Linked DNA regions of Oryctolagus cuniculus. Each later gene encodes a partner of the first gene's protein in a complex. Links are inferred from orthologs where the notes say so. Each region holds a gene or a part of one and is shown on either strand. Other genes may lie near its edges. The genes, in order: GTF2F1, CTDP1, POLR2D, ERCC3 and GTF2E2.

Evidence for each region.
Region 2: the proteins of GTF2F1 (region 1) and CTDP1 are in contact, whole or in part, in an NMR structure (PDB 1ONV), measured with the Homo sapiens proteins. The link is inferred for Oryctolagus cuniculus from reciprocal best matches to the Homo sapiens genes GTF2F1 and CTDP1. Residues at the interface, in NP_002087.2 of Homo sapiens: Thr470, Lys471, Leu474, Gln478, Ser486, Thr489, Val490, Leu493, Ala494, Leu497, Lys498, Leu500, Asn501, Pro502, Arg504, Met511, Phe513; in NP_004706.3 of Homo sapiens: Ala946, Asp947, Met949, Ala950, Lys951, Ala952, Leu953, Glu954, Glu956, Leu957, Asp959, Leu960, Met961.
Region 3: GTF2F1 (region 1) and POLR2D share a complex: the UniProt entries of both Homo sapiens proteins name them as parts of the TBP-based Pol II pre-initiation complex. The link is inferred for Oryctolagus cuniculus from reciprocal best matches to the Homo sapiens genes GTF2F1 and POLR2D.
Region 4: GTF2F1 (region 1) and ERCC3 share a complex: the UniProt entries of both Homo sapiens proteins name them as parts of the TBP-based Pol II pre-initiation complex. The link is inferred for Oryctolagus cuniculus from reciprocal best matches to the Homo sapiens genes GTF2F1 and ERCC3.
Region 5: GTF2F1 (region 1) and GTF2E2 share a complex: the UniProt entries of both Homo sapiens proteins name them as parts of the TBP-based Pol II pre-initiation complex. The link is inferred for Oryctolagus cuniculus from reciprocal best matches to the Homo sapiens genes GTF2F1 and GTF2E2.

Annotation. Positions count from the first base shown.
Region 1 is NC_091447.1:60,702,934-60,706,843, forward strand, and holds the end of GTF2F1 (general transcription factor IIF subunit 1), read right to left. Parts: intron 2,982-3,910; coding exon 2,797-2,981; intron 2,289-2,796; coding exon 2,135-2,288; intron 2,051-2,134; coding exon 1,989-2,050; intron 1,913-1,988; coding exon 1,793-1,912; intron 1,551-1,792; coding exon 1,477-1,550; intron 1,392-1,476; coding exon 1,253-1,391; intron 1,149-1,252; coding exon 1,031-1,148; intron 938-1,030; coding exon 733-937; 3' UTR 706-732; downstream 1-705. UniProt on the Homo sapiens protein: TFIIF is a general transcription initiation factor that binds to RNA polymerase II and helps to recruit it to the initiation complex in collaboration with TFIIB. It promotes transcription elongation.
Region 2 is NC_091441.1:431,550-435,599, reverse strand, and holds part of CTDP1 (RNA polymerase II subunit A C-terminal domain phosphatase), read left to right. Parts: intron 1-3,613; coding exon 3,614-3,755; 3' UTR 3,756-4,050. UniProt on the Homo sapiens protein: Processively dephosphorylates 'Ser-2' and 'Ser-5' of the heptad repeats YSPTSPS in the C-terminal domain of the largest RNA polymerase II subunit. This promotes the activity of RNA polymerase II.
Region 3 is NC_091434.1:121,258,834-121,262,883, reverse strand, and holds part of POLR2D (DNA-directed RNA polymerase II subunit RPB4), read right to left. Parts: intron 3,807-4,050; coding exon 3,626-3,806; intron 239-3,625; coding exon 143-238; intron 1-142. UniProt on the Homo sapiens protein: Core component of RNA polymerase II (Pol II), a DNA-dependent RNA polymerase which synthesizes mRNA precursors and many functional non-coding RNAs using the four ribonucleoside triphosphates as substrates.
Region 4 is NC_091434.1:122,300,865-122,304,914, forward strand, and holds part of ERCC3 (general transcription and DNA repair factor IIH helicase/translocase subunit XPB), read left to right. Parts: intron 1-1,005; coding exon 1,006-1,208; intron 1,209-4,050. UniProt on the Homo sapiens protein: ATP-dependent 3'-5' DNA helicase/translocase. Binds dsDNA rather than ssDNA, unzipping it in a translocase rather than classical helicase activity. Component of the general transcription and DNA repair factor IIH (TFIIH) core complex.
Region 5 is NC_091433.1:80,603,557-80,607,283, forward strand, and holds the end of GTF2E2 (transcription initiation factor IIE subunit beta), read right to left. Parts: intron 3,251-3,727; coding exon 3,135-3,250; intron 1,513-3,134; coding exon 1,396-1,512; 3' UTR 801-1,395; downstream 1-800. UniProt on the Homo sapiens protein: Recruits TFIIH to the initiation complex and stimulates the RNA polymerase II C-terminal domain kinase and DNA-dependent ATPase activities of TFIIH. Both TFIIH and TFIIE are required for promoter clearance by RNA polymerase.

The DNA.
Region 1 (3,910 bases):
GCCATGGTATCAGCCCAGCGCTCTGACCGTCCCATCCCCCTGGCCAGAGCCCGTGGTGATGCCTGCCTGAGAAAACCACCACAGGGGCAGAAAATCGGGACCCCGGAGAGCTCCCTGGGTAGAAAGAAGCGCTCAAAAGCCCAGGCCAGCAGCGAGAGGGGGTAGGGGTCCGGCGACGGCGCTCCCTGGGCAGCTGCGGGGAGCCAAGGCCATCCCCGACGACCCTGGCGCCCTGTCCAGGCCCCGTCACAGGGGCCGCGTGGCCAGGGCGCCGGCATCCCAACCGCTCTGCCTGGGGAGGCAGCAGATGGTCTGAGGACGTGGGGTCCCCACCCATGTGGGAGACCCGGGTGGCGTTCCTGGCTCCCGGCCATTGCAGCCATTTGGGGGACGAACGAGCGGACGGCAGCTCTAACTCTGCCTTTCAAATAAACAAATCTCATTATAAATCAACAGTCCCGAAGGCCGTCTGCCCGCCTGTGAACTTCATTCAGATTGCGCAGGTGCCCACACCCGCCCGCGGGGCAGCATGGGAGACGGACCGCACAGACAGCAGCCGACAGAGCGCCGAGTCAGCACCACTCGCTCCACTAAGGACGCGCTCAGGGGTCATGGGGGTGGTGCGCGGGTGGAGATGGGCTGGCTCCCAGCACGGAGGCTGTCCCCGGCACAGCGGGACGACACGACACGACACGACACGACACGCCAGGCCAGCGCGCGTTTATTGCGGCCTCACTCCTTGAGGGAGAAGTGCATCTTGTCGCTGATGAGCTTGCGCTCGGGGTTGAGCCGCTTCAGGATCTGGGCCAGCACGTTCACCGTCTGCTCGCTGCTCAGCCCCGTCTTCTTGGTCTGGAACTTCTTCAGCAGGTCCTTGGTGGTCATGGGCTTCCGCGTCAGGTAGCGGCGCACGGCGTCCTCCGTCACCTGCACGTCCCTGCGGGGCGGCGGGCGGGCGCCTGTGAGCGGGTCCCCGCGGCCCCGCACCGCCCCCCGCCCCTGCCCGCCCCCGCCCCGCTCGCCCACGTACCCGCCGCTGGGCGTGGACTTCCCCGAGGACGGCTGGGGGGTCGACTTTCCAGACAGGTTCTGGGGCCCCGCGTCGAGCCGCAAGCGCTTGGCCGCCGGCGTCTCACTCGGCCGCTTCCCTGTGGGATGGGATGGGGTCGGGGCTGAGCCTCGGGCGGGTGGGGCCCGGGCCCAGAGAGGGCAGGTTCTGACCCAGGGCCGGGCAGAGCGGCCCGGTACCCACCTTGCTCCAGCTTGCTGGCCGCCGCCCGCAGCGTGGACGAGGCGCCGCCGCCCTCCGTGCTGGGCGTGCCGGGGCGGCTGTTGCCGCGTGAGCTGCCTCCCGACGGCTTCCGCTCCCTCTTGGGGGGGGTCTTCTTCTTCTGCGGGGGCGGGGGCAGGGTGTGAGAACGCTCACAGACGCCCCAGCCCCGGCCCACCCCGGCCCCCGCCACGCCTGCGTCTTACAGCCATGAAGAGGGCAGAGGAGGCCTCGCTGTCGATGTCGCTGTCCTCGGAGCTGTCCGACTCGTCGCTGCTGTCTGCAGGGCCGGTGGTCGGGAGTCAGGCCCAGAGCGGCGCGGGACCCCTGCGCGCCCGCCCACCGCGCACGGGGGAGGCCTGGGATGGCCCCCACCTGTCCTACACGCGAGACCCCTGCGGGCGCCCGCCCCACAGCCCACGGGGGCGGCCTGCGAGGGGCCCCACCTTTCGTGCACCCGAGACCCCTGCTCGCGCCGCCCGCCCGCCCACCGCGCACGGGGGAGGCCTGGGAGGGCCCCACCTTTCCGGCGCTTCTTCTCCTGTGGGGTGGGGGCTTTCTTCTCTTCCTCCTCCTCCCTGTCCTCCTCGGGCGGCTTCTCCTCCTCACTCTCCTCACTGCTCTCGCTCTGCTCGTCGACCCCTGGGGGAGGGGTGGCTGTGAGCAGGGGGCCGCCCAGCGCGCCCCCCCTCCCGCCCCCACCCCGGGCGCCGCCTACCCTTGGGCCCCTCCTCCGGCTGCGGCACTTTGGGCTTGCCCTCAGCCTCGTCCTGGGAGCTGCTGCAAGACACGGCGGCAGGGGTGAGTGGGCGGGTCTGCGAGCGGCGTGGGGGCTTGCGGGGGTCACCGGCCTCCCCTGCTCACCTGGAGCCGTCGGACATGTAGTCCACCTCCTGGCCCTCGAAGTCCCCGTCGTCGCTGTCCTCGAAGGCCTCGTCATCGGAGCCCTTCTTCTTCTTCTTCTTCCTGCCCGCCTTGGTCAGCGGCCCCTTCTTCTTGGCCTTGGGGGCTCTGCTGCCTGCGGGGGCGGGGGCGGGGGAGGAAGGGCTCAGGCCACGGGCCGTCCTGGGCTTCCTGGTTGACGATGCGCTGACGGGGGCCACTGCACCCACCCTCCAGACGACGAGGGCCTGCTAGGAGCGCACCGCCTCCTGGCGACCGCCCAGGCCGGGCCCACAACCCAAGCCCCCTTCCTGTGATGCACACACCCGCACACGCACCAGGCCCACGTGCTGACGAGTAGGACGGCCCCCAGAGCCCGGTGTCCACCAGGCTCATTCAAACTGGCCAACCCCGGGGCGGCCACGGGGCCCAGAGTGCCCGCATCTCACGTCCGCTTGCCTGGCCTCAAGTCCGGGCTCCGGCCCCTGCCCTCACTGCCTGCTAAGTGACTGGGTAGGTTCCTGGCTGCAGCCTGGTCCAGCCTGGGAGGAGGACGCGTTCTGCCCCTGGCTGGGCCAACAGCCAGCTACCGCTAAGCTCTCCTGGGGGCGCCCGCACCCACTCAGCCCTCGCCCCAGCCGCACCCTCCTCGCCGCTGGCCTCGCTGTCGTCCGACGACATCTCCAGGTCGTCCTCCAGGTCGTGGATGCGCAGCTCGCTGGCCTTCTTGTGGCCGCCTTTCTCCTTCTCGCCCTCGCCCTCGTCCTGGTCCTGGTCCTTGAGCCGCCGCTGCTGCATGATGCTGAAGTGGTTCAGCACCTTGTTCCTCCTGCGGGCAGAGGGGCTGCTGGGTGACGAGGGCGCCCCCAGGGACTCGGGGCGCCCTGACCCCGCCTGGGAGAGCTGCCTTACCCCTGAAGCCCTCTCCAGCCCAGCGTCCACTCACAGCGCCCCCCCCCCCCCCCCAGTCTGTCTTTGTATATCATGAACGGGAGCCTTTAACAAAAAGCTTTCCCTTTATTTCAGAGGCCGAGACAGCTGCCACCCGCTGGGTCACTCCCCAGGTGCCTGCAAGAAGCCCGGCCAAAGCCAGCAGCCCAGGACTCAATGCAGGTCTCCCACGTGGCTCCCAGCCTGCTAAGCCCTCGCCGCTGCTCCCCAGGGCGTGCATTGGCCGGAAGCCGGCATCGGGAGCCAGGGCCAGGGCTCAGAGCCAGGCGCTCCCACAGGGGCTGCGGGTGCTTTCCCCGCCCTGCGTCTTTGGGCACTCGTTCAGGGTGAGAGAGAAGCCGTGACACTCACTACCATGTGGGTGGACCTTGAAACGGGCGCAGTGGGAGACACGAGGTCAAACCTCCCCGACTGCACTCCTGGGAGGTCCCTGGGGCAGTCAGATCCAGGGACAGGAAATGGAGTAGGGGGCGCCGGGGACACCTGCAGATGCATCTGTGGCCTGTGTCACCGCAGAGGCCCCAGGGAGGCGGGGCCCAGCCCTGTGGCCACACACACGCTCCAGTTCCAGTCCCGGCTGCTCCACCTCTGATCCAGCTGCCCGCAAATGCTCCTGGGAAGGCAGCAGAGGACCCAAGGACTTGGGTCTCTGCCACCCAGGTGGCAGAGATGGTGTTCTTGGCTCCTGGCTTTGGCCTGGCCCAGCCCCAGCCACTGGGGCCATTTGAGGAGAGAACCAAAGGATGGAAGATCTCTCTCTGTCTTTCCCTCTCTAATTCTCCCTTTCAAATAAGTAAATCTTACAAA
Region 2 (4,050 bases), on another chromosome or scaffold:
CGGACACCATGATCCTCACAGGCCTGGGGGGAGCGTTCGGCGTCCTGTGTCCCCTTCAGAGAGCACATCGCAGGTGTCATCTGCGTGTGGGTGCTGGTCAGACCCGCGCTGGTGCTGTGGTTTGGGCCTCCTTCTCTGTTATCACCTGTCGTCTGTCGTGAGGCCGGTGTGCCTGCCGTGCAGCCCGCTCTGTCGCTCAGAACTCTGTCCTAGCCCAAGGCCTAACCGGTCCCCTTGTCTTGTTTTTGTACTTCGTGGTTGACTTTTTTTTTAGTGTAGACATCTTAGTAAATTGAGATTTCCTTGTTTTAGTAGAAGTCGCACACGGTTAGCCCCTGATGTGAGCTGTCTGTCCGGGGCAGCCTGTGGATTCCCACTGCGCCTGTGCTGGGACCTCCCTCCTGCTGCCGTGCAGTGAGGTGGGAGCGAGTCCACTTGTCAGATCACACTGCCACGCGGACGTCACCGACAGGCAAACAGCCCCGCAGCCGCCTGTCCCTGCAGCCACGCTGTGGTCTGCGTGTGTGTGACGGGGCCGTCTCGGGGTCGCGCAGGCCGGCGCGAGTTCATTCCTTACGCATCTTTCTGCTTCCCTGGGCATGCATTACGTATCTGCACTTGCTCATTTCCTCCGCTTTGCCCATCTGAGTCCCCGGCTGCGGGCAGACCACGTGTTCCTCGTGTGTGCTCGTCTGACGCTTGGTGGGATGTGTGGCCCTCGGCAGGGGCTGTCACGTCGCTCTCCTGCAGTGTCCGGTGCTGTGGGTGCTGGCCTCTGTCTCGGGAGACTTCGGGGTCCTTCCCTTGTCCTCAGCGTCGTGAGGGGCCTGGGCCCTGCACGCGAGCTCGGTGCTGACCACAGCGGACGTGGTTCCCTAAGCCCACAGGTGTCCTGGAGGAGGGTGACTCTTAGACGAGAGCACACACCCCTGGCAGGGAGGGGAGCAGGAGCAGGGCCAGGTGGGGCGCCCAGTGGTGCCCAGCGGCGCCCACCGGCATCGCCTGAACATTTCCCCTCACGGTGGACCAGTTCCTGGGCCCCAGGTCCGATGGGTGGCACGGGCAGGTGGGAGCCGGCACAGCTGCTCAGGTCAGCCCTGCGTGGGCACTGGCTGCTTCGAGTGAACCCCGAGGGTAAAGGACGGCCCTGACGGGAAGCACAGCCCGAAACGCGGCCCCCAGGCGCTGAGCGCACCACTCGTGTCCTGGCCATGCCCAGGGCCGCGGGGGCCCGCGTTCTCTCCAGTGGACTCATGCTTCGGTGGTGGCTGGCAGAAGGCGACTGAAGTGTGGCGAGGTCTCCCGGGCCTGTTCCTGCAGCGCTGGAGAAGTGAGGACCTCACGCGTTAGTTAGGAGCTGGCAGGAGCAGCAGAGCTTGTGGGCGGGGCTCTTCCCGGGGTGGGGGGCACGGCGGTGACCTCGTAGGGGAAGCCTCGCTGTCCCAGCATGAGGACCTGTGGGCAGGGCTCTTCCCCGGGGGGCGGCGGTGGTGAGTGGTGACCTCGTAGGGGAAGCCTCGCCGTCCCAGCATGAGGACCTGTGGGAGGGGCTCTTCCCGGGGAGGGGGGGGCACAGCGGTGACCTCCTAGGGGAAGCCTGTTCTCACTGTCTCCTGCATGCCGTTTAAAATGACTCTCCAGGCTTTACGTGCTCTGTGCATGGCCTTGCAGCTGTGTGAACGCATGAGGTGAATTCCACGCGGTGCCGCGCATGGGGCAGCCCTGGCGGTCACGTCACAGCCTGGCTCTCCCTGGGCTTGCAGCTCACGTCTGGCTTCCGAGACGATTTTCCTGACCGAAACTCAGGCAGGAGGAGAGGCGCTGTCAGCCGAGCTCTTTCTGCACGTCACACATGCCACGAGGCTGGGCGGGGGGCGGGCTGACGTCACGAGGCTGTGGCGGTGGGTGGGCTGACGTCGCGAGGCTGGGGCGGGGGGCGGGCTGACGTCGCGAGGCTGTGGCGGTGGGATGGGGGGCCACACTCTGAGAGCCGCCGCTGCCCTGTGTCCAGCGTGAGTCGTTCCTCTGACTTGGCCGTCACTGCGGAGACCCCGGACCTGGGTCTGTGTCCTCTCTGGGTCACTGCTGCTCTGCATACGGCCTGAGCACCTCCCAGGGGCCTCACCCGTGGGCTTCTAGGACGCAGGGGAGAGCGTGTGGCTGCTGGCCGCTGCCCGGTTCCAGTCTTCCCTGATGCACTGGACAGAGCTGAGTCCTGCACCCCCTCCTGGTGCACACGCGTGTGCACACACAGAGCCACCTGACCGCCTGCTGTGCTCACCTCACTCCACCTGTGCCTCCTCCCCTCGGGTCCTCAAGCCCCACACGGACCTGCTTCCACCTGGCCAGGCCAGCGGCTCTCAGAGCGTGCCCCCCCCCCCTTCTGCCCACTTCCTGCCGCTGCGTTTCGGAGCTGCATTGCGGCCACGCGGCAGCAAGTGAGAAGGGACTCCCTTCCAGGCAACTCCGGTGTCCTTGGGTCTGGCCGCCAGGGCTGCCTTGTGAGTGGCAGCCTCCTCCCTCTGGCTGGGGGGAAGGGATCGTGCGTAAGTCTCACGTTTTGCACAGCTAGGAAGCGGCTGGCTGGGTTTCGTGGATCTGACCAAGGACTTGTAGAAAAGACACTTCTCGTCATCAAACATCTTGGAAGCGAGTGTTGATGAGGGCCAGTCTGTCACCTGAGGGTAGGGCAGCTGATGGCAGAACACGTGACCGAGTTGCAGTGCTGGTTGTGGCCAGCCTGGGCCGGGGCAGAGCCCTGGGGAGGAGTGGGCGCTCCCCGGGGTCAGGACCCAGCCTGGCAGGGCTGTGCGGTACACACTGCTTGCACACAGAAGTGTGCAAAACGCTCAGCAGTGAGGGTGTTCCCAGAGCTCCTGTCCCATCAGAAAACCAGGCTGGGCTGCGTGTGTGTGCGTGTGTGTGTGTGTGCACGTGTGTGCGTGACTGCTCTGGGCTGCGTGTGTGTATGTGCGTGCGTGACTGCTCTGGGCTGCGTTGTGTGCGCATGTGTGTGCGTGCATGTGTGACAGCTCTGTGCTGCGTTTGTGTGTGCGTGCGTGACTGCTCTGGGCTGCGTGTGTGTGTGCGTGTGAGCATGTGTGCATGACTGCTCAGTGGCGTGTAGTTTATTGTTGTTGTCAGTGGAGTGAACAATGAAAAACTAGAAATTAGATTGACTTCTAAAAAAAATGATTTGTGTGACTGAAAGGCAGAGTTACAGAGAGAGCGAGATCTTCCACCCGCTGGTTCACTCCCCAGATGGCCACAGTGGGCAGGGCTGGGCCAGGACAGCCGGGAGCCCCCCAGGCCTCCCACGTTGGGGCAGGGGCAGGGCTGGGCCAGGACGGCCGGGAGCCCCCCAGGCCTCCCACACAGGGGCAGGGGCAGGGCTGGGCCAGGACGGCCGGGAGCCCTCCGGGTCGCCCACACAGGGGCAGGGGCCCAGCGCTTGGACGGCTCCCACTGCCCCCCAGCTGCATCTGCAGGTGCTGGATCGGACGTGGAGCAGCCGGACTGGACCCAGCGCCCACGTGGGGTGCAGGCAGCTCGGCGCACTGGGCCACCCGCCGTGTGCCGGGCGCGAGCCTCACCCCACTCTCCTTCTCCTCAGAGGCCACAAGAGGAAGCTGAGTGAGGACGGCACTGCCAGCGACTCCAGCAGGGAGTCGAGCGACGCGGACGGGGAGGGCAGCAGCTCGGAGGCGGACGAGATGGCCGCGGCCCTGGAGGCGGAGCTCAGCGACCTGGTGTGATGCGGGGCGCGTCCTCGCCAGGGCCCGCCCCTCGGGTCCGTTTCCTCACAAAGACATATTTTGCAGAGCTCCATGTAAACACATTATTTTGCAGAAATTGGTGTTTTTAAGAAGTTTTACTACAAATTACAGGAAAATCTACTTTTTTAAGTGAGAGGGCGTTGAAGGTGTCCCCGTGCCCAGCCCCAGGGCTCCACAGAGCCTGCCTTGGATGGGGGGCGGGGGTGGGGCCCCGTGCAGAGCCAGGCCTCGTGCCCCGCATGCCTGCGGCTGGGGGAGCGCGCGGGGTCTGCGG
Region 3 (4,050 bases), on another chromosome or scaffold:
CACCCCATCACACATTATTAACAAGGATTTTCAGTGTTGGTAATACCTCTCCAAAGTTTAAATGCATACATCATCTAGACACAGCAATTCTGTTTGCAGGAATTTATCCAATACACATAGAACTTCTCACAGCTGTACTAACCTTGGGATCAGGGCCTTTGACTCCTCGGCAGTCTCTGGACAAAGGTTGGCTAAACAGGCCAACTCAAACTTATGAAGCTTCTTCTGGAGCAGCAAGCTGGTCATAGAGAGGAAAATCCAAACAAAACAACCCAATCAAAGAATGATCAACAAGAAAAACTGTGGGGAGCAAAGAGAAAACGTGAAGCATCTGCAACCTTCTCTTTACGGTTATGTGGGCTGCAGAATTCTACTTTCAAATTACTTCCTGTTTCTGCCTCTAAAGAACAGGAAGCTGCAGTGAACTTAGGCAGAGATGAAAGAGAGGAGACACACCAGGTAGAGGAGCACCTGCCACAACCTGTGAAAAACTACTTCATACCTCAGACGATACCACTTTTTGCCCAGAAATTTATTTTCTTGTTACTATTCTTTCTACTATACCTCTTTGACTCTTATATTACTAATTTTTAAAAAATTATTTATCGGGAGGGGCCAGCGTTGTGACACGGTGGGTTAAGCCACCACTTGTGACACAGGCATCTCATAAGGAGTACTGGGTTAAGTCCTAGGTGCTCTGTTTCTGATCTAGCTTCCTGCTAACATGCCTGGGAAGGCAGTGGAAGATGGTACAAATACTCAGGTCCCTGTAACTCAGGTAGGAGACCAGGGTTCCTGGCTCCTGGCGTTAAGCTTGGCCCAGACTTGTCTATTGTTGGCATTTGAGAGGTGAACCAGTGAATGGAAAATTTCTGTCTCTTCCTCTCTGCCCTTTTAATAAATCAATCTCAAAAAAATTTTTTTGAAGAAATTAACTTATTTGAGAGCCAGACAAAGAGAGGCATTGAACTCCTGTCCAGTGGTACACTCCTCACATGCAACAGCCAGAAGGAAGGTGGGAGCTGGGAACTCAGTGGTGACATGGTAACAGAAATCAACTACTAGGGCCATGACCTGCTGCTCTGCAGAGGGCACACTAGCAGGAAGCTGGAATTAAAAGTGGGACTGGGGGCTGGTGCTGTGGCACAGAGTGCGAGGTTGCTGCCTACAGTGCCAGTATCCTATATGGATGCCAGTTGGGAGTCCTGGCTGCTCCACTTTGGATCTAGCTTAGCTCACTGCTATGGCCTGGGAATGTGGTGGAAGATGGCCCGGTCCTTGGGTTTCTGCACCTGCATGGGAGACCTGGAGGAGGCTCCTGGCTCCTGATCAACCCAGCTCTGGCCATTGCGACCATTTGAAGAGTGAACCAGCAGATGGAAGACCTCTCTCTCTGCCTCTATGTAACTCTGCCTTTCAAATAAATGAATAAATCTTAAAAAAAAAAAAAAAAAAAAAGTGGGACTGAACTCCAATATGGAAGGCAAGTATCCCAACTAACGTCTTAACTGATAGGTCAAACGCCCACCCCTCTTAATTTTACATTAAGCACATAATGTTAGCTGTTCCCGATTTAATAGGTATTTTGACAGGGAGGAAATTCTCTTTAAAATTTATCTAAATAGGAATACAGACTACCCTATTTTGTGCATACTGGTGTATGAAACATATCTTAATTAAACATACAGAGGCCGGTGCTGTGGTATAGCAGGAAAAGCCACCACCTGCAGTGCCAGCATCCCATATAGGCACTGATTCTAGTTCCAGCTGCTCCACTTCTGATTCAGCTCTCTGCTATGGCCTGGGAGAGTAGTGGAAGATGGCCCAAGTCCCTGGGCCCCTGCACCCCCATGGGAGACCCAGGAAGAGACTCCTGGCTCCTGGCTTCAGATTGGACCAGCTCTGGCCATTGCAGCCATCTGGGGAGTGAACCAGTGGATGGAAGACCTCTCTCTCTCTCTCTCTCTCTCTCTGCCTCTGTCTCTCTGTAACTCTGCCTTTCAAATAAGTAAATAAATAAATCAGTAAACATACAAGTCCTGTTTGGAACACTGTCAGCACAAATACTGTCTTGAATGTTCATCACTCTACCTCTTTTCTCTTTTTTTTTTCTTTTAAAAACTTATTTATTTGAAAGGCAGAGTTACTGAGAGACAGATCTTCCATCTGCTGGTTCACTCCCCAAATGGTCATAACACTGGAGCTGGGCAGATCCAAACCCAGGAGCCAGGAACTTCTTCCAGGAACTTCCCACGTGGGTGCAAGGACCCAAGAAATAAGGCCATCCTCCACTGCTTTCTCAAGAGCATTAGCAGAGAGCAGGACCGAAGTGGAGCACCTGGGACTCCAACTGGTGCCCATATGGGATGCAGGTGTCCCAAGCGGCAGCTTTACCCGCTGTGCCACAGCAGTTGCCCCACCTCTGCCTCTTAAAATAGAGCTCATCTGTGGTAAATTTAGTTTCAGAAATGATCTTCAGCTTTCTGATAAGAAAAAAACCAGGGTGGAGGAGGCATTTGGCCTAGCTGTTTTTCCTATAGCCTCCTTTAAGCCCAAGCACCTCACTGTGTCTCCCAGAAAGAATGTTCTGGATCTACATTTATTACCATGCAAAGATCTCTATGATGTTTTAGGCACAAAATAAGTAAATCTGCTTAATTAAAAATCTTTAAATTCTATCAAACTGTGATTTAGGTATAAAAGATGGTGGCTCAAGATAATTTTGGCCTTATAAACAATTAAAATTTTTTGACAATGATGTTACTTTACTTATATTAAATTCACACGGGGGTTGGAGTCATGGCATAGCAGCACAAGCCACCACGTGCAATGCCCAGCATCCCATACAGATGCTGCTCTGAGTCCTGGCTGCTCCATTTCTCACTCAGCTCTCTGCTTATGTGCCTGGGAAGGCAGCGGAAGAAGGCCCAAGTGTTTGGGCGCCAGTACCCATATGGGAGACCCAGATAAAGTTCCTAGCTCCTGGCTTCAATCTTGCCCATTCCTGGCCGTTGCAGCCATTTGGGGAGTAAACCAGCAGATGGAAGACCTCTCTCTCTCTCTCTCTCTCAACCAGCAGATGGAAGACCTCTCTCTCTCTCTCTCCCTCCCTCCCTCCCTCCCTCCCTCTCTGTAACTCCACCTTTCTAGTTACAAAATAAATCTTATTTGAAAGGTGGAGTTACAGAGAGGGAGAGGCAAAGGCAGAGAGAAAGAGAGAGAATCTTCCATCCTCTGGTCCACTCCCCAAATGGCTACAACATCCTGAACTGGGCCAATTGGAAGCCAGGAGCCAGCAGCTTCTTCTGGGTCTCCCACATGGGTGCAGGAGCCCAAGCATTTGGGCCATCTTCCACTGCCTTCCCAGGCACATTAGCAGAGAGCTGGATGGGAAGTGAAGCAGCTGGAACTGAAACCGGCACCAGTATTGATGTTAGCACTGCAGGTGGAGGCTTTACCTGCTACAGCACAGCACCGGCCCCTAAATAAATCAATCTTAAAAAAAAAAAAAAAAAAAAAAAAAACAAAAACCTTCACAGATGATGTTGGGAAAAGCAAGAGTGAACAATGTTACACATGTAGATGTCCAACAAGTTGGACTAACAGACTTTCTTTTAGCACTCACCTGCGGACACTGGCAATGGTCTCTCTGTTTTTGAAACGACTGAAACGGGCTGTGTAGGTCAAAGTCTTCATGAAGACCTCCGAGAGTTCCTGTTCATCCTCTGCACTCTCGTTCTGCTGCTTGCGATGCTCCAGAAGCATATGCACCTCGGAATTTAGAAGTGTCTCAGCTGTTTCAAACTCTGTCAGAGGCACAAATGTAAGCTGAGAAGAATCCTTCAGGGGCAAGCGTTTGGCACAGCACTTAAGAAGCCACTTGGGACACCCACATCCCTTATCTGAGTGCCTATGTTCAAACCCAGGCTCCGCTCCTAATTCCAGCTTCCTACTAATGCACACCCTGGGAGGTAGTAGATGATGGATCAAGAATTTGGGTCCCAGCCACTACATGGAAGACCCAAATTGAGGTTCAGGCTCCTGGCTTCA
Region 4 (4,050 bases), on another chromosome or scaffold:
GACTGCCTAGGCCAGGCAGTTACTGTGTGGGTCATGATGCTGGTAGGTACCTCGGCAGTTGGGAAAGAAAGGAGCAAGGATGGGATTTTAATACCAAAGTAGAGGTGTGTTCTTTACTGTCAGAATGTCATGGCGAGGCTAACTCAGTAGACGGAGCTACAAGTGTGTGTGTGTGCATGTACACACATCTGTATCCGTTTCTCATCTGTCTGTGCACATTAAAAACCACGAGCTCCACAGATTGTATTCTTTTAAAAGATTTATTTATTTATTTGAAAGAGTTACACAGAGAGAGGAGAGGCAGAGAGAGAGAGAGAGAGAGAGAGAGAGAGGTCTTCCTCCCATGGTTCACTCCCCAGTTGGCCACAACGGCCAGAGCTGTGCCGTCCGAAGCAGGAGCCAGGAGCTTCTTGGCGGGTCTCCCACGTGGTGCAGGGGCCCAAGGACTTGGGCCATCTTCTACTGCTCTCCCAGGCCATAGCAGAGAGCTGGATCAGAAGAGGAGCACCTGGGACTAGAATCAGCGCACATATGTGATGCTGGTGCTTCAGGCCAGGGCGTTAACCCACTGCGCCCCAGCACCGGCCCCCACAAATTGTATTCTAACTTTCCCTGTTTATAATTCCTTTCTCAGACAGTGAGAAACTTGGCTTCCATTATCCATGAAAGTTCACTTACTTATTAGTTTGGACCTATGATATACACAAAGGAATTTTAGAATTGCTAACCAATACCATTTAGAAAAACAAAACTGTAGTTCAGTATCTGGTGTAAAATTAGTTCCCTGGGTATAACTATTTAAAAATAGGTGTTAAATGATGGGCACATGAGAGTGTCCAGTTCAGTGTTAGATTTGATTTTGTGCATGCATGGACTTGTTGTTGTGTTGAAATCATAATTCATATACCGTTGGTTTTGCTTTTAGAAGATGAACGGGCTTTAAAAGTTTACAGTTGTGTGATGTTTAAACCTGTAAAATGATCCTTGATTCTTAATGCATCACAGGTTTGGTGCCCAATGTCACCCGAATTTTACCGGGAGTATGTGGCAATCAAAACCAAGAAACGAATCTTGCTGTACACCATGAACCCCAACAAGTTCAGGGCTTGTCAGTTTCTGATCAAGTTTCATGAAAGGAGGAATGACAAGATTATTGTGTTTGCTGACAACGTGTTTGCTCTGAAGGAGTACGCCATTCGGCTGAACAAGTAAGCCCTGAAAGCTTCGTTTTCCTCACCGAGAATACACAAGGCGACTGCCTTGATCCTTGAAGCTCTTGGGAACTTCTTGGATTCTAAAGCTCTGTCACTGCTCTCAGGACCCAGGCAAGACAGAGAAGCAGGTGATCAGAGATGGAGGTTAGAGCAGAGAGGCAAGAGGGACTGGTCCCCTCCAGCCCAGAGAGCAGGGGTCAGAGTTGTGCGTAGCTGGGAGAGCTGCTTCCTCACATCTGGGCTCCAAAGCTGCATGAGGTTGGCTTCTGGAGTTTCAGGCTGGGAGAATGCTATGGGCAATGATGAGGCCATACTGTCTGGGCAAGGAGCTGGATGGCAAAGGGGGCTGGGCCAGCATCCCAGGTGTGGACTGGCATCCAAGAACTTCTCAGTAACACCCAGCATGCTCATCAGCCCATAGCCCCACCCCAGTGCGTGTGCTTCAACCTAGCTGTGGCCAAGTTCCTGCCACATGAAGAGGAAGAGGCTTCCCCAGATGGTGATGCCGGGCCGCAGGTGCTGCGTCGGAGTAGGCAAAGTGCTCCGTGGACACAGGCCATGATGCTTTTTGTGAGGGCAGCAAGGGGTGAATGAATATAGACCAGCTTCTCCTTAGCAAGCTGGATGCTGGGCATACTGTACGTATGTTTTATTTATTCCTCATCTCAGCCATACCAGGAGGTATTCCCATTTTATACGAAGGAAAACACAGGCTTAGAAAGATTGAATTTCTGGGGTGGGCTTTTAGCAAGGTGGTTAACACTGTGGGATGCCTGCATCCCATATTGGACAGAGAACCCTCATCTGCTAGTTCACTATCAAAATGCCTCAGACAGCAGGGGTTTGGCCGGGGTTTGGCCAGGCTGAAGCCAGGAACTGAAACTCAGTCTAAGACTCCCAGGTGAGTGACAGGGACTCAAGTACTTGATCATCTCCTGCTGTCTCCCAGGGTGCACATGAGCAGGAAGCTGGAATTGGAAGCAGAGCTAGGACTTGAACTCAGGCGCTCTGATATGGGATGCAGGTGTCCCAACCCAGTGTCTAAACCACAAGGTTCAACGCCTGCCCCTGGTTGCTTTTGCTAGGTTTGCATATACAATGATTCCTCCTTTCCATACTCTTCACGTAACCGTAAATTCCCTTTGAGCAGGGTCAGGTAACCCCTCAGTTCTGGTTTTCTCTGTCCAGTGGAATCCCCACCAGCACTCCACCCTCCTGCTCTGCTCTGGCCTGGCTATCATCATGGGGCTTCCCTTGGAAATCACCCCATGAATTCCCTGGGCCCCTATTTCTTCATCTCAAGTCTGTACTCTTCTCTTGGTCACTCATTGGATGGAGCACATGCCCCATTAGATTCTTGAGAGGAGGGATGCTGGAGGGAAAGTTTGTAAGACTGAATGTTCACAAGTGCCTTTACAGAACTTTGCATCTGATCAGCAAGTTGACTGGGCCTTGGAAGCAATATTGAAGCTTGCAGTGAGGCTGCTTGGAAGTCTGGTGCTCTCTGGTTTCTTTCTCTGTGACTGGTAGTGGTGCTTGTCTGTTTTCCTTCTTTCAGGAGGTGATTTTTTGGAGATTTCAATCAATCCTAAGTCTAGGATGGTCTTTTTTCTTTCACTATGATAGGTACTGAAGCCCCTTGTTTTCCCCTTTTTAATAATAAAAATAAAATCTATGAAATTTTTGTTTATTTTTACTTAAGAGGCAGGGAGGGAGAGGGAGAGGGAGAGGTGGGGGGAGAGAGAGAGAGAGAGAGAGAGAGAGAGAGAAAGAGCGCACTTCCACTCTTCACTCTCCAAGTGCCTGCAACATCAAGGGCTGGGTCAGGCTGAAACCAGGAGCCAGGAAATTCCCGAGGCATCCCTAGTGGGTAACAAGAACCCATGTACTGGCGCCATCAACTGTTGCCTCTGAGGGCGTGCATTAGCAGGAAGCTGGAATTAGAAGTGGAGCTGGTACTCAAACCCAGGCACTCGAATACAAGATGCAGGTAGGCATCCCAAGCAGTGTCCTTTTTTTTTTAGAATCTTTTTTTTGACAGGCAGAGTGGACAGTGAGAGAGAGAGAAAGGTTTTCCTTTTGCCGTTGGTTCACCCTCCAATGGCTGCCGCGGCTGGCGCACTGCGGCCGATGCACTGCGCTGATCCAAAGGCAGAAGCCAGGTGCTTCTCCTGGGCTCCCATGCGGGTGTAGGGCCCAAGCACTTGGGCCATCCTCCACTGCACTCCCAGGCCACAGCAGAGAGCTGGCCTGGAAGAGGGGCAACCGGGACAGAATCCGGCGCCCCAACCGGGACTAGAACCCGGTGTGCCGGCGCCGCAAGGAGAAGGATTAGCCTGTTGAGCCACGGCGCCGGCCCCCCCAAGCAATGTCTTAACCCCGGTACCAGATGCCTGTCCCACTCAGGCCCTCTGCATCTGGAATCTCGTGTCCTTCTGTTCTGAGAATTTCTGTTTCTTCTTTGTTTATCATCTTGTGTATGTTTTCTCTGTTCTTTCTTTTTGGAATCCCTTGTCAGATAATAGGTCTTCTGCTCAACTTGTCCAGTTTTTTAATATTTTTTCCTTTTTTTTTTTTTTTTAATCTTGTTGCTTTCTCTTTTTTTGAAGATTGATTTATTGAGTCTGGTCTGGTGGCCCAGCAGGTTAAGCTGCTGTCTGCAGTGCCTGCATCCCTTATCAGTGCTGATTCGAGTCCTGGCTGCTCCACTTGTGATCCAGCTCCCTGCTAATGCTCCTGGGAAAGCAGTGGAAGATGGCCCAAGTGCTTGGGCCCCTGTGCCAATGTGGGAGACCTGGAAGAAGCTCCTGACTCCCAACTTTGGGCTGGTCCAGCC
Region 5 (3,727 bases), on another chromosome or scaffold:
TTCTTTTTTTGAGGAAAACTCACTTTTATGCCATAATATATTATAATATATTAGAGCTCCTTACTAACAAAAAACTTCTGGAATACAGCAAGAGATGTTGAATTTCCTTTGTTCTAAATTAACATAAGCACCTCAGTTTTACAACATCTCCTGCCATGGTTTGGGACTGGGCAATAGGAAGCAGGTAAATCAGATAGATGACACTGTAAACAGGTAAGAACTAAGACAGCAAAACAAGGTTCCTTGTCTGCACAAAGCACCTACCATCACACCACCTTTTTTAACAGAGAAAAAAAGGAAGCCCATCTGCTATTTTATTCCCTAAATCCCTACAATGGCCAGGCAGGGCCAGGTCAAAGCCAGGAGCTGAGAACTCACTCTAAGTCCCATGTGAGCTGGCACAAACCCAACATCCTTAGGCCACTACATCACTGACTCTCAGGGTCTGCACTGACAGGAAGCTGGAGCCAGGAACTGAACCCAATACTCCAATATGCAGTGTAGGCACCCCAAAGGGAATCTTAACTACTTTCTGAAACATGAGATTTTGTCTTTACACTTCACTACAACTTAGTCTGTGACATGGGATCTGAGATAATCAATGAAAAGATCTCAGCAAATCATCTGAAAATGGTTTGCCACAGAAGGCAGGAACGATCCCATCAATTTCCTGTAAGTCACCCTAACTCCTGAGAACCCATACAGCCTTGATATTGCTCACAAGCGGGGAAGTGCCAGGGGAACAGGGGGCTCTCCACCAGAAGAAAGAGGCTAAACTTTTAAAAGAAAACATGAACAAGGACATTTAGTGCATCTTTATTGCTTAACTTGCTACAGGAGAAACACCTTGTGTTCTGACTATGAGACCCACATGCTCAGCACACAGTGCAGAGTTCCATCTTCACAAACCCCAGACAGGCGCCCTGGAAGCCAGGCCGGCACTGCTGCCTGCCATTTCCAGAAATCAAAGGAAACAAGCTGAATTCACTAACATCTTTAAAATCCTTCTACAATTATTTTATTATAAATATGTTCTTTCGGAATAAACAAATATCGCATTCAAGACTACCTGTCAATCTGCTCTAAAGTAATAAACAAGGGAAAATGGAACCAGGAACCTTGTAGAAGCAGACAAACAGCAAAGACACCTGCATGCCACGCACAGTGCCTTCCCCCTAAAACGTAACTGGAGGTTACAGGGAACATCACATTTCTCGTTAGCCTGCCCAGTGAGCTTGAGTGTGAGGCTGGTAATTTGCACCTGTTCTGTAAACTGAGCTGCTCCTCTCCTCAGCCCTAGGAAGCAGAATGGAGGACAGTGAGTCTTCGGAGCCCAAGCATTGACCAGAACAACCTTGATGTGTATCGGTCCTCTGTTCAAGGACAAACCTGTCCCTATTTGCCAGGAGTAATGTCAGAGTAATCCTTCAGCACGCCGGCCAAGTGCTCATTATGAGTCTTAAATCGTCGCTTTTTCTGCGAAGCAGGCTTTTTCCTTCTCTGAATGGGTGCCTAAAGGAAAAGGTAAGAATAGTTAGAAACAAGCAGCTACTCCAAAGGGTACGATGGTCAGGGTTTCCTAAGCATAGAACCCAACAGCAGAGGAGGAAGGGTCTGGAACTTTCTCCCTGCCCTGGAGCCCAGCATCCCATATGCCAATGCACAGCCCACAACCCAACCTGAGCCAGACCCGGGATTTTTGTTCAAGAGATGCGATGCAAACCTCCCTAGGAATGAGCAGGCTGGCACAAAAACCTTCCTGCAGGCACCAAGTCAGTAAGAGAGAGTCAGTGAAACTGTCATTTGTCTGTTATCGGGCTTACAAATAAATCCACTATCACCACTTAAAAAAAAATCAAATATGATAAGATCCTGATATGGCAAACTTGGGTGATGGGTGGACACACAAGGGCTTTTAATGTTATTCTCCATTCTTTTCTGTATATTAGAAACGTTAACATCAATCACATAATAAAAAGAAATCAACAGCCAGCCCAGCAAAATGGCGCCATCCGCGTTACTGTGCCCTCTCTCATGGCTGCTGGCCCCGCCACGCTCCCCAGCATTCTTCAGCATGGTCAAAATTCTACGTGCAGGAGGGGCCAAATGACAAACCTGACCGGTTGAACACTGGGCTGCCCTTGGGCACCACCGTGTTCCTGTGGATCTACCTCATCAATGTTAACAAAGTTTTTTTTTTTTAGTATAGAAAAAAAAATGGATTGGAATAAACTTTTTAAATTCCAGTATCAGAGTATACTGCATATGGTGTTTAGCTTTTCCTCTCGATTATTCTGTTGAATTGTTAATGTGAGAGAAAAAATTATATATGAATATGTCAAGTCAGCATTAGTGTTCTGCATCATTAAATGAAAAAAAAATTGTTAAGTCCACAAATTAAGCAGTGATCGGAACTCATGAAGGGCTGCAATGACACTGCTTCTTGGAGAAATTACCGGCAGTCAATCTTCCATTTCTGAGTTCTGAATGCTCACTGAATAACACACACCCCACAAAGCCACAGACAAGCTACAAAGTACGATGGGGGCCTAGGGCCTGAGGAGAGAGGCAGAGTAGCCACAGTCAAGGGTGCTGGTGGGTTATTCTCCAAGCTGGCTTTGTTCCTGGACTACATAGAGCCTGCAGTTAGCTGGCACAAGACGATTTTCGAGTTGTCATTTGGTTACTAAGGTCTCTGATGAGCAGGACTTAGGCGCTATAAAGACCAAAATATGATTCCCGAGAGACTCAAAGATCAACAGGGACAATTCAGTGTGATCAAGGCCATGACAGAGCCGGGAACCAAGACCATGAGGCTCAGGGAGCAAGGGGGAGGGGAGCACAACTGAGGTCTTGAAGCCCAAGCAGATGAAGAGCAGGCTCCTCACAGAAGGCAGGGGACGCGTGCTGAGGGTAGGAGGGGAAACAGTGGACGATGCTGGGGCCTACAAACAGCAGGGGATGCTGCAGGGAGGCCGGGCCTGAGGGGCAGCAGCCAGGGGCATGTCCACGGGTCTGCAAGGCAGACATGTGCTGAATGGCATCTGAGCAAATCGCAGGACAGAGACAACTACAGGAAGCAGGGTAACAATGCAGAGGAGGAAGGTTGGATGGCTTTTCCAGAGATTACACACCACTTTCTTTGGTCCAGATTCCTGCATGGAAGAAATACCCTGTCGCTTCAGATATTCTTCAATTTTCTCCTCATCCATTGAATCCACAGTGACACTCCTCCAGAGTTTCTGAAATTCTGTACCAACAAGAGAATAGTTATTTTACAATCCATTTTTACAAATGATTACATTGAAGTGATCAAAATCCAGGCTTCATTATTATCTCTTTTGGGTCTAAATTAGCACATCTGAGATTTCATTAGAAAAACAAAGAGGCAAGGCAAGAACATTCCAGAGCTGGACACTGAGCAGCAGAAGGGCCTGGGAACAGAGCAGCACCAGCGCAGACCACGTCATTGCCATCTATTTTTAGAGGCCAGTAAGGGAGGGCGATGTGCCTGAGGCCTCCCTGCTTTCCTGGGGAGGAAAGGCAGTCAGCACTCTCCTTTTATTCTTTTCCTTTTGGGCAAACAGTTCAGTTCAACTGAGCTCAGTTTACTCCATTTCCTCTCCCACTAATAACAATTATTGAAACAGAGGGAGACAGAACAAAGTTTTATATGGAAGTGAGACACTTCAACAGTTTGGGAAAAACAGTTGAAATCAGTCTGGGG